Caenorhabditis elegans: one gene and its partner. The protein of the gene in region 1 interacts with the protein of each later gene in a pairwise test. Each region holds a gene or a part of one and is shown on either strand. Other genes may lie near its edges. The genes, in order: aat-6 and nrfl-1.

Region 1 (6,537 bases):
CTCGAATTTTCATCTGAAAATGAATAACTAAAAATGCCAGAATTTGAAGTTTTACCAAAACGTTGTTCATCGAAAAAATAATTAATAGTTCCACGAGGCCATCGAGGTTCATTGTCCATGCGTAAAGCTTGACGCTTTGATCGCTCCAATCTTTTTGTTTCAGGACTACCACCGACTCTCATTACAATCTTATTTCCATTCGAAAATCGAAAATAAAAATTCAATACAGCAATATGCATAAAGAAGAAAGTAATAAAATAGTTCATTGCAAATGCGACGAATAAAAAAATCCAATGAAGTATTTTATAGTCGATGCAAGACAATATACTCCTTTATAAAGTGCATATGAATTAATACAGTATCCAAACGAGTCCCTAAAAGAATTTCTGAATTCTTTTGTTGCGCTTTTTTTTGAATTTCCATGCACAATAGACTTTTCTTAACCCGATTTGCACTTGTTTAAAACACTTAACAATGAAATAAATTATACCGAAACTGTATAAATAAGTAGTAGATTTATGTTTTCCAGAAAATTTCGAAAAAATGAAGATAACAGTTAATTTTTTGCTCGTAGCTCTGATTGGAGTCCCTTCGGTGCTTTCTGATCGTCAGTGAGTTATTAGTATTACGTCTTTCTGTGATGTTTAAGACAATTTTCAGTATAACCCGAGATAAACGGCAAGCAATGCGAGATTATGCAAAGTGGGAAAATAATAAAATGTCTTTATTTTTCTACAATTTACGTAAGAAATAGTTTCAAAAATTGATTCGGATTATTATTTTAGCACTTGAAATGCAAGCCATGTTCCGAGATGCGATAAATTACTTGGAAAATCACACTTGTCTTAAATTTGAGTATAACGAGAATGCAGAAACTGCAGTTAGAATTAGAAAAGGAAATGGATGTTATTCATTGTATGGAATGCACGCAGGAGAAGTTCAAGATCTTACATTAGATTACAATTGTGCATCTTTTGGAACAGCTGTTCACGAAATCATGCATGCACTTGGAATTGCCCATGGTCAAGCTAGAAGTGATAGGGACGATTATCTTATAGTTGATTCAACTAATTCAAATGATGGTATTGAGAACACTGAAAATCTTGTTCCGTTTGATTATGGAAGCGTCATGCTTTATGCACGAGAGTGAGTAAAATTTTACTTTTCAGACTTCTTTATTACAACTAGGCTGTTTCAGTCCTCACAGTGATAAACGAATTCCGATAGATCCAGAATATAACTTCACAATGGGAAGCCTTCGAGTTGCGTTTTATGATATGGTTTTATTGAACAAATTCTATGGCTGCAACTGTGATAATCATCCAAGAAAATTGGATTGTAAAAATGGCGGCTATCAGAATCCGGCCAACTGTGAAGAATGTCTTTGTACTGACGGATTCAATGGTCAATTATGCGATCAGCATGAAGGAGTTTACGTTTTGGAAGCTAAAAAAGAATGGGATGCATCAGGAGTGCGTAATAATTACAGAAAAGGAATTGAAACAAATACTATGCCGGAGTATACTTATTTTGCATTGACTGTAAGAACTATCAGAGAACTAACCAGAGAATTAAAAAAAATTTTCAGGCTCCAGAAGGATCCACAATTGAGGTTCGTATCACCAAACTATCCGGATTTTTCTGTCAACATACATGCGATTATAATGGTGTTGAATTGAAATACAAAACTGATCGACGAATTGTGAGCCCATTAGTATGCTGTGATAATGATAATTTATGGAATAAGACACGATCATCAACCAATAATCCATTCATTATTGCAAAATATGGAAATAACCGAACACCTCACTTTGAATTCGAATATCGTTATATTCCTGGGAATGCTACTGCTGCGCCAGAAGAGAACAATTAACATCTCAATCCACTCCGTTGAAAATAAAAACTATGCTGATTTCTCCTCAGTAATTTTTAAAAATTTTAAAGTTAAAAAGAGTTTTTGAAACACTAAAAATTGCACATATCAATAATCTATCATAAATTGCAATTCGTCAAAAAATACCGTTCTAATTTAAAAAAAATTATAGATATTTTTCAAGTTGCATAGAAAACAGTTCAAACATTGCAATATGAAATAAATATGTAACAATTCAAAATGTTTGGATAATCTCTTTTATGTCATACACTGTGGGTTCAATATTTGTTGATCTCTCGCCTGTTTATGATGTTTTCATTCCGATGAACACATTTTCTTTATTTGTTTCCGTTCTAATTGTCGAGTCATGCTGAATGTTTTTGGTGAGTTGTATTTGAATATAAGATTATCAACTTCTCCTTTTTCTACCTTCCTTTTTCATTTTCTTCCCCCGCACATTTCGGTCTTTTCTGATCGACAGGCAACCGTTGGTTAGGAACAGATAACAGCACGCATCGGGTGCTTAGCTTCGACTTACACATGTACTTTATCATCAAAAAATTGAAAATTCGTGACGCGCCGGCTCCTTATTCTTATCAAATGCGGCGTGGTTTCGATTTCAGTGTTTTAGCACCTTCTTATTGCATTTCACACATGAATTTATTGCATTCTTGAACAATTTTAATGTGACGATTAAATAGGTTTAAAGAGAGACTAGTTTGATATCAAGAATTGTATCATTTTTGAACTAGATCATTTTCAACTTCCAGTCGGCTATGATCTATGTTTTTACTTTTTTTGGGTTTCGAGCCTTAACATTTGAGAGTTTACGATAACATTTTTAATTATCTAAACATTGGTTCAAAATTGTTTTTGAAACTAATTTAAGCAATTATTTAGCATAATTTTACATTTACTCACAACATGAGTACAAAACGTTTCCAATTTCCAGCGGTGAAAATTTGAAATTTTTCCTAGCAACAAACTTCAAAATGTTATTGTTCACACGTTTGTCACGCACATGTTAACTTTTTGTTTTAGATTTCCTCAAGTTTAAACATCTTCTCGATTTTTATTGCTTTCAAACCGATAGAAAGCATGTACAAATTTCAACAGAAAAGGCCGTTTAACTTCTCGAATAATTTAAATTTTGAACAGTCAACCAACAATAATATATACAGAGTGAAATTTAAATTAAATTCTCATTCATGCGCTGCAAGAGGTCTAAACTTAAAAACACATTTTTTTTTTCAAAAATGAAATATATATATCTCGAAAGTATTACTTTAATACACCTAGCAACACTAGTTTTAAAAAGAAAACTGCCGAAAAATTATATTATGACTATGAAAAATGCATTCGATTGTTGTGAACGTTTGTTTCTTCAAATCGATAAATGTGAATAGTGAAAAATCGCAAAATATGAGATATGATCATTGAAAATTCAGTTCAAAATTGCTGTAACTGCTTGATTTTGATTACTTTAACAGTCATGATAAAATTAATTCCATCTACCGAGGGCATGTGATAGATTCTTAATTTGACGTACGAATTCAATACACGTAAATAATTAATAGTCATTCTTTTTTCCATGTAATCTCATTTTCAATTTTTTTTTAAATGTCGTCGAGTAGCAAAAGCGAAATCGAAGATGATGCTACGAGTAGTTCAAGTCATTTTTCAAAAGCTCGTAAAGTTTTGGTAGCACTGTCAGGTCGTTTATTTACTATGTATTTTTTGACATAACCTTTTAGATTTCTTCAATACATGATTGATTTCATTTTCAGGAGTCTCCGCAAGTATGCCCGATGACTCTCGTTCCCAGAAAATGGGCCTTTTAGGTGCCATATCATATATTGTGGGTAATATTGTTGGTTCCGGAATTTTCATCACTCCTACATCGATTATCGAGAATGTAAACTCGGTGAGTATTTTTTATGTGCAAAAAAGAACGAGCGTGGACAGTTAAAAATTAATAGATGATATTAGTGGAAAAAAGTGTACATTGAATGGTGTTTCTGATTCCGAATTTTCATTATGTGTACCTATTTTAATAAACCTAATTGCTCTCCATGATCAAGAAATGTGTTAATTTTTTGATGTTTGGAATTAAGGTCGGCTTATCACTTGCTATCTGGATATTGGCGGCTTTTATCTCAATGCTTGGCTCGTTTTGTTACGTCGAACTTGGCACGTCTATACGTCTTTCCGGTGGAGATTTTGCATACCTTTGTTTCATGAAATGGCATGTGACTTTCACACTCTTCAGCAACATTTTAACGTGTTCTTTGACGTTTTAGGTATCCTGTGGCGTTTGCTTTTATGTGCATTGGTTGTACTATCAACTATCCAGCGACACTTGCAGTTCAGGCACAGACATTCGCCGAATATGTATTCCGGGTGAGCAAAGTTGAAAGTGCACATTTTTAAGATTCAAATTCAGGGAGCCGGAGTGGAGCTAGATGAAACGTCCGAATTCTGGGCTAAGAAGCTTTTGGGATTCTCACTAATCATTCTTCTCATGTTTATGAACTTCTTCTCATTGAAAACCTTTGTTCAAAGATTTTCAATTCTTGCCTCACTTGCGAAAATTGCAGCGACACTTCTAATCATTATCACTGGATTTTACTATTTAATATTCAAACACTGGAAACAAAATCTTGAAGAGCCTTTTAAAGGTTCAAATTGGAATCCAGGTCCATTTGTGAATGCTTTGTTCGCTGGTCTCTTCTCTTACGATGGATGGGATATTTTGAATTTTGGAGCTGAGGAGATTGAGAATCCAAAAAGAACAATGCCACTTTCAATTATCATTGGAATGACATGCATCGGAGTGATTTATGTAGCAGTTAATGTTGCATACAGTATTGTTCTTTCTCCCACTGAAATGATTGCCTCAAATGCTGTTGCAATTGATTTCGCAAATAAAACTCTTGGAGCAGCTGCTTTCGTTGTTCCAGTCATGGTTGCTATTCTACTAATTGGATCACTCAATAGTACTATGTTTTCTGCAAGCAGGTGAGTTCGATTACTTGACCAAAAAAGAGAAGACAGAAAAAATTATGTATATTTAGATTTACTGTGAGTCTATCAAATTAAAATCTAGTGAACATTTTTTAGAATAATAATATTTTTTCGAAGAGAATGGGCTTTAAAAGTTTTGGAAGACCATGTGGACCACGTCGGTTGTCCAAGACACAGATTTCTCTTTTAAATAATTTGATTTATAGGCTACACCAAAACACAAACGATTCGATTCCCAAAAATCAAATAAAATAGTTTTTTAAAGATATCTGCAAGCTGTCTCCCGTCAAGGACATATCCCGAGTGCAATTTCTGGTATTGCACCAAATTGTGATTCTCCAAGAGTAGCTCTCCTTGTTCATGTAAGTTATTTTTGAAGGGTATTTGAACAATTTCAATTTTCAGATCCTTATCGCAATTGCTGTCTCATTTTTGGGTGATCCTGACAAATTGATTAACTATGTAGCATTTGCTCAATGGTCACAAAGAGCATTTACAATGTCGGCTCTTCTTTATCTTCGTATCAGAGGACGGCCTCGTCATCCAGATCGTATTCAACTTCCAATCATTATGCCAATTTTATTCTTCCTCGTGTGCACTTCAATGGTTGTGATTAGTATTATTGACGATTTCAAATCTTCTGCAGTTGGACTTGGAATCCTTCTTGGCGGTCTCATTATTTTTATAATTTTTGTCTGGGATAGAGCTCTGCCTTCAAGTCATACTTTCAGAAATGCAACCCATGTCATCAATGGTATTGTTTTTAGCATTGTTTTTGAAAATGTATCATTATTTTTCTTTACAGAAGAAAGTACAAAGTTTATGCAAATTATTTTCAACGTGGTACCAGAACGAGTCGGCGACGAAGAGATGAAAAATGCCATTGGAGGAGCTGAATCGGAGAGTGAAAAAGTGCCAGCATACAAGATCTCACCAACTGGAAACGGGCAATTCAAGTGTACACGCATGTAAATATATGAGTATTTGTTGAGTCCGTTTTACTTCATTTTATAGGTGCTGTTGTTTTTTTAGAAAATGATTGTAACATATTTATTGAACAATTGTTTATTTGGTGATAGGAATACTACAATTTCTAATAACCCGTATCATATATAACAAAGCAGGGATGGGAGAGAGAGAGAGAGAGAGAGAGAGAGAGAGAGAGAGAGAGAGAGAGAGAGAGAGAGAGAGAGAAAAGCAGATACTGCTCAAAAGTCCACAGAGTTCACCCGACTCATAAAGTACATGAAAGTTGTTCCAAACAAAATACCACAAGCCTGGAGAATAGACACCAGAATACTCTCGGCCAAATTTTCTTTGATGAGCTCATTCGTCGATTCTCGAATTTCAGGAATCTGAAAGTGAACATTAGTTTTGAGCAAATTATAAAAATTAATCACAATAGGCCATAACATTTAGAAAACTAACCAAGGTTCCCAAGAAGATATACATATACATTCCGGAAGATATTGCAAAAATGTACTCGTCATACGAATCGTCCACACTGTCCAACATCACACCAATCGAAAATCCCAAGAAACTGAGTACAATTGGAACCATATTGAACAAAAGTGTCTTTTTGAGTCCTAATCCAGACTTTACAAGAATTGCCAAAGTTCCAAGTTCTTGAGGAAACTGTT
Region 2 (5,301 bases), on another chromosome or scaffold:
TTCTGATATTCTTTCGAATAAAAGTGAATATAAAAAACAAGTCCCAAAAATATCGGATTACAAGATGCGTTTCAATGTTGGGAAATGCCAAGAAATAAAATTCAAGTTTTGTGAAAGTTTTCCGACAAGTTATTTGTATTTCTAACATGTTCCGAAACCACAAAACATTTTATGAGATTCAAAGTTTGTTTGAAGGAAAAGAATATTGAACATACAACGTTTGATGAATGTGTACTTTTTGAAGAAAATTAGTAAAATACTTGAGAAAGTGTCTAAACATGACAAATGACAAGAATGGGAGAAGATTGTTGGTTTTTTGTAAAAATTAATAGAATTGGAATGTTGCAATCTTTTAGTGAAGCAAGATATTCCAATGCGTCATGCTTCGTTAACTATCTTTCTATTGAATGAGAGAGAGAGCACGAGACACAGACAGATTGAAATAAAGACATGGCAGGTGGAGGATAAAAAACAATTGGAAGAAGGTGTCTAATGGAGGACCAATTAGATATATTCAAATGAAGGTCATTTATTAAAGGACAAAGAAACGAAGAGGAAGATTTGTAACGAATGATAGGTAAGTGGAATTGTTGCGGATTACTGTAGTCAGACAACTTTTTTGAATTTGGTTCTCTCTGAGAATATGGCTTACGAACAAGATTTCTTAAAGGAGTAAAAAATTTTAATCGATTTTCCATTTTAGAATTTTCGAATGTTTCATCGAGTTGTAATATACTGTTAAACACTGGAATGCTGGTAACTCGTTAGTCTTCCAAAACTATTTCTGTTTCATCATATTTTTAATTATGTCACAATTTATTGAAGTGTTAATTGTCAAAAATAATAACCTATTTATTGATTAATTTACACTCCTCTTTGAGTTGTTTTTCTACACTCATTTCAATCTTCCTAACATTGAACTGTGCAAATTTCCAGTCCGCCAGTCTTCCAATATTTATGTTATTTTCCGTATCAATACCTCATAAATCTATCTGCTATCATATCTCTGTATCCCATTTTCTCATTTAATTTACAGTTCCTCTTCCAACTTTCTAATGTCTCAATTTTGATCATAAATCATCATTTTGTTCTGTTTCTCTCGCACTAAACATATTTTTTTATTACTTGTCTTCTTCATTGTCATTTTCTTCTCAATAAAAAATGATCTACCTTCTCTCTCCTTTCTTGCCAATGCCACAACACACATTTAACAAAACATACATAAGCTTCAAGAGGCTGAATGAGAGAGTGCGTAGAGTGCAGACACAGTTTTAACAGTTTTCTCGTATGTTTGCGGTTTACTTGGCAAGTTGGCAAAATTTTTGGAAATGTATGCAAGAGAAGATGGAGGAAAGATGAGTCAGAAATATGAAGAAGAGGAAATGATACTCGTATTTATATGAAAATGAAATTCTTTTTGGAGAAAATGGAAATATTGAAGAAAAAAGTTGAAGAGGATGACGAATACCTCAACAAATGTTGGAATAGTTTATAAAACATAGTACCCAATTGATAGTTTGGCGAAGTTGGTCTCTAATCAATTTAAAGAAAAAATACTGAAATCCTTATCAAATTGTTTTTGAAGAATTTGGGTAAGGATAGGCACGCGTACCAGTATGGGAAAGATGAAAAACAAAGAAAAGAAACCAGTTGAAATACCATTTCAATTAATTCTACGGTGTGCATTTTATCTGAAATGCTGTAAAACAAGTTGAGATTTCACGTTTTAAAGAAGTATGGTTTTATGATGAATTATAGCCCAAACCAAAAAATGTGTAATTTAAATTTTTAAATTTTGAATAAACAGGAACAATTGTCAGCAAAAAATTTGGATCAACTTTGGTCCGTAAAATATAATTTTCCATCGTTTCTTTGGAGCTATCGGTTCATTTTAAAGACAGTTGCTGACATCAACAAAATTATTAACTAAAAAATTATAGTAAAATAGATTATAAGTAGAAAGTTGTCAAATTATAATAAAATCAATGAAAAATCAGTTATGAGCTGCCTACAGTAAGGGGGTGCAATACTAATAGATAATTCTCTAACTTTTAAATTTATAATTGTTAGAAAGAAGTTTTATTTTTGAGTCGATATTTCAAAATCACAACGTGTGCTCACCCGACTCCTAGATTCCAATGATTCAATACTCCTTACAGATCCATCTTTGAAGATTCCGTTCCTTTTTCGTGAGGTCCTCTCGTCTTCTTCTTCTGATCTTATAACTTCATCAAATTGTCTCATCACATCCCGTTGCTCCGCATCCATCCAATCACTCATTCTAGTTCTTTTGATTCGAATTGATTCAGTTTTCCAATCAAGTTTCGGAACTCGCAGCAACACGTGGCTACCAGATGGAACGATAGCAATGAGTTCAGATGGGCGGATGGTAGAAGCGTCGGAGATCGTTGATGATGCACGTGAAGGTGCACGGAAAGATACAGTCGATGATGTGGTGGTAGTGGTGGAAGAAGCAGATGATGAGGGTTTCTTCAATTTCTTTAGCAACGTCAAAGACTTTTGTCTTGAGAGAGTAGAGACGTAGGCTGGAGAACAAGTCCTCTGAGACGAATGAGGTGTTAGACAGTTGTTGCAATAGACGAACGACGAAGAGGGAGGCAATAATGATGAATCCTTTGGCGCTGGGTCCCCTAGACCCGCTACTTGTCTAACTGTCTGCGTAGCATCTCCTCGTGTTACTATCTCAGTGCGCGGAATACCTGCGTCTCTGGTGATCTGCTCCGTTGATTTGTCATCGGTAATCCGTTGTGGTTGTGGGAGATGTGGTAGATGCGAGGAGATCAACCACAAATAGTACACGAAAGAGGTGTAGAGATACGAAATCCACGTGATTGGGTTTTTCCAATCTATTCTTTCTGGTTCAGATGGATTGCGATCCATGTTTGAAGAAGGCAATATGCAGATTTAGAATTGAAATTTCTTAGCTGAGAATAAGAGTTGAGAATACTGTAGTGATGTGCCGAAGAGCCAAGGAATGTGAATCAAACAAAAGTGCCTTTTTGGTATTCCTTTGTTTGTCAAGATATATAACTTTTTTGTCCCTCTTCGTGCCTCAATGCATAGAATATGTATGGTTTGGCCCATAAATTCTTTGCCCCGTCTTTTTCCATCTTCTTCATATTTTTATTGAATATTAACATACAAAACAGGCACACACACACAAAACCAACGCTATTGTGTCGTCCGTTTCTTCATCGATTCGAGAATCATCGAAAAGTTGTTCCGTTTGAAGAATAATGGTTGAGAACGTCTTGGAGTGCATGGAGAATCAGATTGTAAATCAAAAATTGGAGGAGAGAAAGTACAAGTGGATGACTAGAAATGATGTCTTAGCAATACTTAGATATTACAAGGAACTTAGAAAAGTTTACAAAACTTTTGCAATAAATCAAATATTTTTATGGAGTTCTAAAGAAAAGTTTTAATCAGATTTCAATCGCCTAAACTATATAAAGCATCATCGAATGACAGAATATGTGCATTACAATTTCAAGATAGTCTCCAAACCAACCACGGGTTTTCCTTAATGAGGAAACATTTTTTGTGCGGAAAAGGCAATTCCCGAATTTTTGAAATTTATGAATAAGTCTTTTAACTATTTATGAAACAGAAAAAAATTATTCAATTTTTTTGCAAGAATTTTTATTTCCATTTCTTCATTTGAGATCGGATATTGTATAACTTTTTAAAAATTTCAGTTCTAAAATTGCATAGCCATTAATAATGTTAATTCCAATTTCCCCAGGTTCAATTACCAATTTTTAATTTTCATTGTTCCTATAACTTTCATCTAAAATGACGTCATTTCTTGTCTATCGACTCCCTGTCTATCTACCTCGAAATATTTGTCAATCCTTTTTTAGTGTGAGAACATATGAAAATGACGCATAAAAATGGTTCAGTGTGACTCAGTAGATATACGAAGTTCGGTTGATCAAGTGCAACTAGAGGTGTCAAATAAACAAATGATGCTCAATGAGCAACTACAGCTATACTATTTGATATTCGATACTGTTTGAAAATTACAAAATAACAATGAGGAATAAACAAAGTGGAGAAAGGAGAAAATTATGTGAAAAGGCAAAAAGACTGACCTGTGAATATGACGTGGGTGCGTACCACGAACTTGGCGGGGGAGAATTGTTGGACGGATGACAGGAGTTCCTCTGACAATTGGTAACATAAGGGATTTTAGGCGCAACAAAGGGAAATAAGACAAATGGAAAATGTTTCTAATTTTACTGTCAAAAACGAATATTGCATTCTTCACGACAATGAAGACTTTTTTATCTTACATGTTAAAAATTTTAGAATTTAAAATAAAGTTAGGAGAATGAGAAAAGTCACACAAAATTGTTTTTTTTAATTTTGTAAAGATAAAATCTACATTTTGACTAACCATTGGAGAAACTCGTTCGATATTTGGAAGGTCCAATGTGATTTGAACATTATTTTCATTGTACCACTTAGCTCCTTCTTCAGAGATCACAAGCATTTCACATCGATTTGGATTTGCTTTTATGCGCTCAACCACCTTCTTGTGATTTTCTCCAATAATCGAGTGACCATTGACAGCAAAGATTCGGTCACCAGTGATTAATCCTCCTCTGAAAATATTTAAACAATTGGTAAAATAGAAACAAAAATTGCAGTTTCTTCTCCGACAATGCCAATACTTTAAAATATTCTACAATTTTCAGAGCTGACCAGAGAAAATGGACTAACTGTGAAAGCCTTCATAGCATTTTAGTATTGAGAGATTTTTGAAACTCAATAATTTATTATTGGTTTTTAATTGATATATGTATTTGTCAATGAATATTGTCCATCAATATCAAAAATAAAAATGTTTACCTCTCAGCAGGACTATCCGGATCGACGGTACCAACGAACTGTCCACGTCCCTTCTCGGCGTGCAAGTTGTAGCCATATTCCTGAAATTAAATGTTTTTGAACATACATATATGGGAATTTAAACTATAGATAACACACTATTTAAACTCCAATTTACATCACGTGTTGCCTGAAAAATTATCAGATTCAAAAAGTTCCATGCGTTACAACTCAGGCTGAACTGCATACTTTTTTTCCAATTTGTGAGGGTATTAATAGTAAAATAACAATATTCCAAAACGTTTACTTATAGAAGAGAGAACATATACAATTCTGTTTCAAACATTTGAATCACTTACATTCTCTCCATTCAACTTCTCAACGACACAAAGTCTTGGAGGAGTCACGTCGCTCGGAATGTGCACCATGGCTAAAAATGTAAAAATT

What was found.
Region 2: the proteins of aat-6 (region 1) and nrfl-1 interact in a two-hybrid assay, tested with the Caenorhabditis elegans proteins (one study listed by BioGRID).

What each region holds. Positions count from the first base shown.
Region 1 is NC_003283.11:11,466,302-11,472,838, reverse strand, and holds aat-6 (Amino acid transporter protein 6), read left to right. Parts: upstream 1-2,175; 5' UTR 2,176-2,240; coding exon 2,241-2,256; intron 2,257-2,409; exon of another isoform or gene 2,410-2,549; intron 2,550-3,660; coding exon 3,661-3,797; intron 3,798-3,987; coding exon 3,988-4,118; intron 4,119-4,173; coding exon 4,174-4,273; intron 4,274-4,316; coding exon 4,317-4,891; intron 4,892-5,162; coding exon 5,163-5,259; intron 5,260-5,302; coding exon 5,303-5,651; intron 5,652-5,702; coding exon 5,703-5,869; 3' UTR 5,870-5,997; downstream 5,998-6,537. Other genes in the region: Zinc metalloproteinase-like protein nas-21, read right to left, coding at 1-13, 56-266; Zinc metalloproteinase nas-20, read left to right, coding at 544-611, 661-743, 786-1,146, 1,199-1,541, 1,589-1,873; zipt-16 (Zrt (ZRT), Irt- (IRT-) like Protein Transporter), read right to left, coding at 6,106-6,252, 6,326-6,537. UniProt on the Caenorhabditis elegans protein: Amino acid transporter that mediates the uptake of the L-enantiomers of various amino acids, including L-glutamate. May play a role in promoting fertility.
Region 2 is NC_003282.8:9,119,081-9,124,381, reverse strand, and holds the start of nrfl-1 (Na(+)/H(+) exchange regulatory cofactor-like protein nrfl-1), read right to left. Parts: upstream 3,011-5,301; 5' UTR 2,902-3,010; coding exon 2,122-2,901; intron 1,105-2,121; exon of another isoform or gene 704-1,104; intron 578-703; exon of another isoform or gene 506-577; intron 1-505. UniProt on the Caenorhabditis elegans protein: Scaffold protein that connects plasma membrane proteins with members of the ezrin/moesin/radixin family and thereby helps to link them to the actin cytoskeleton and to regulate their surface expression.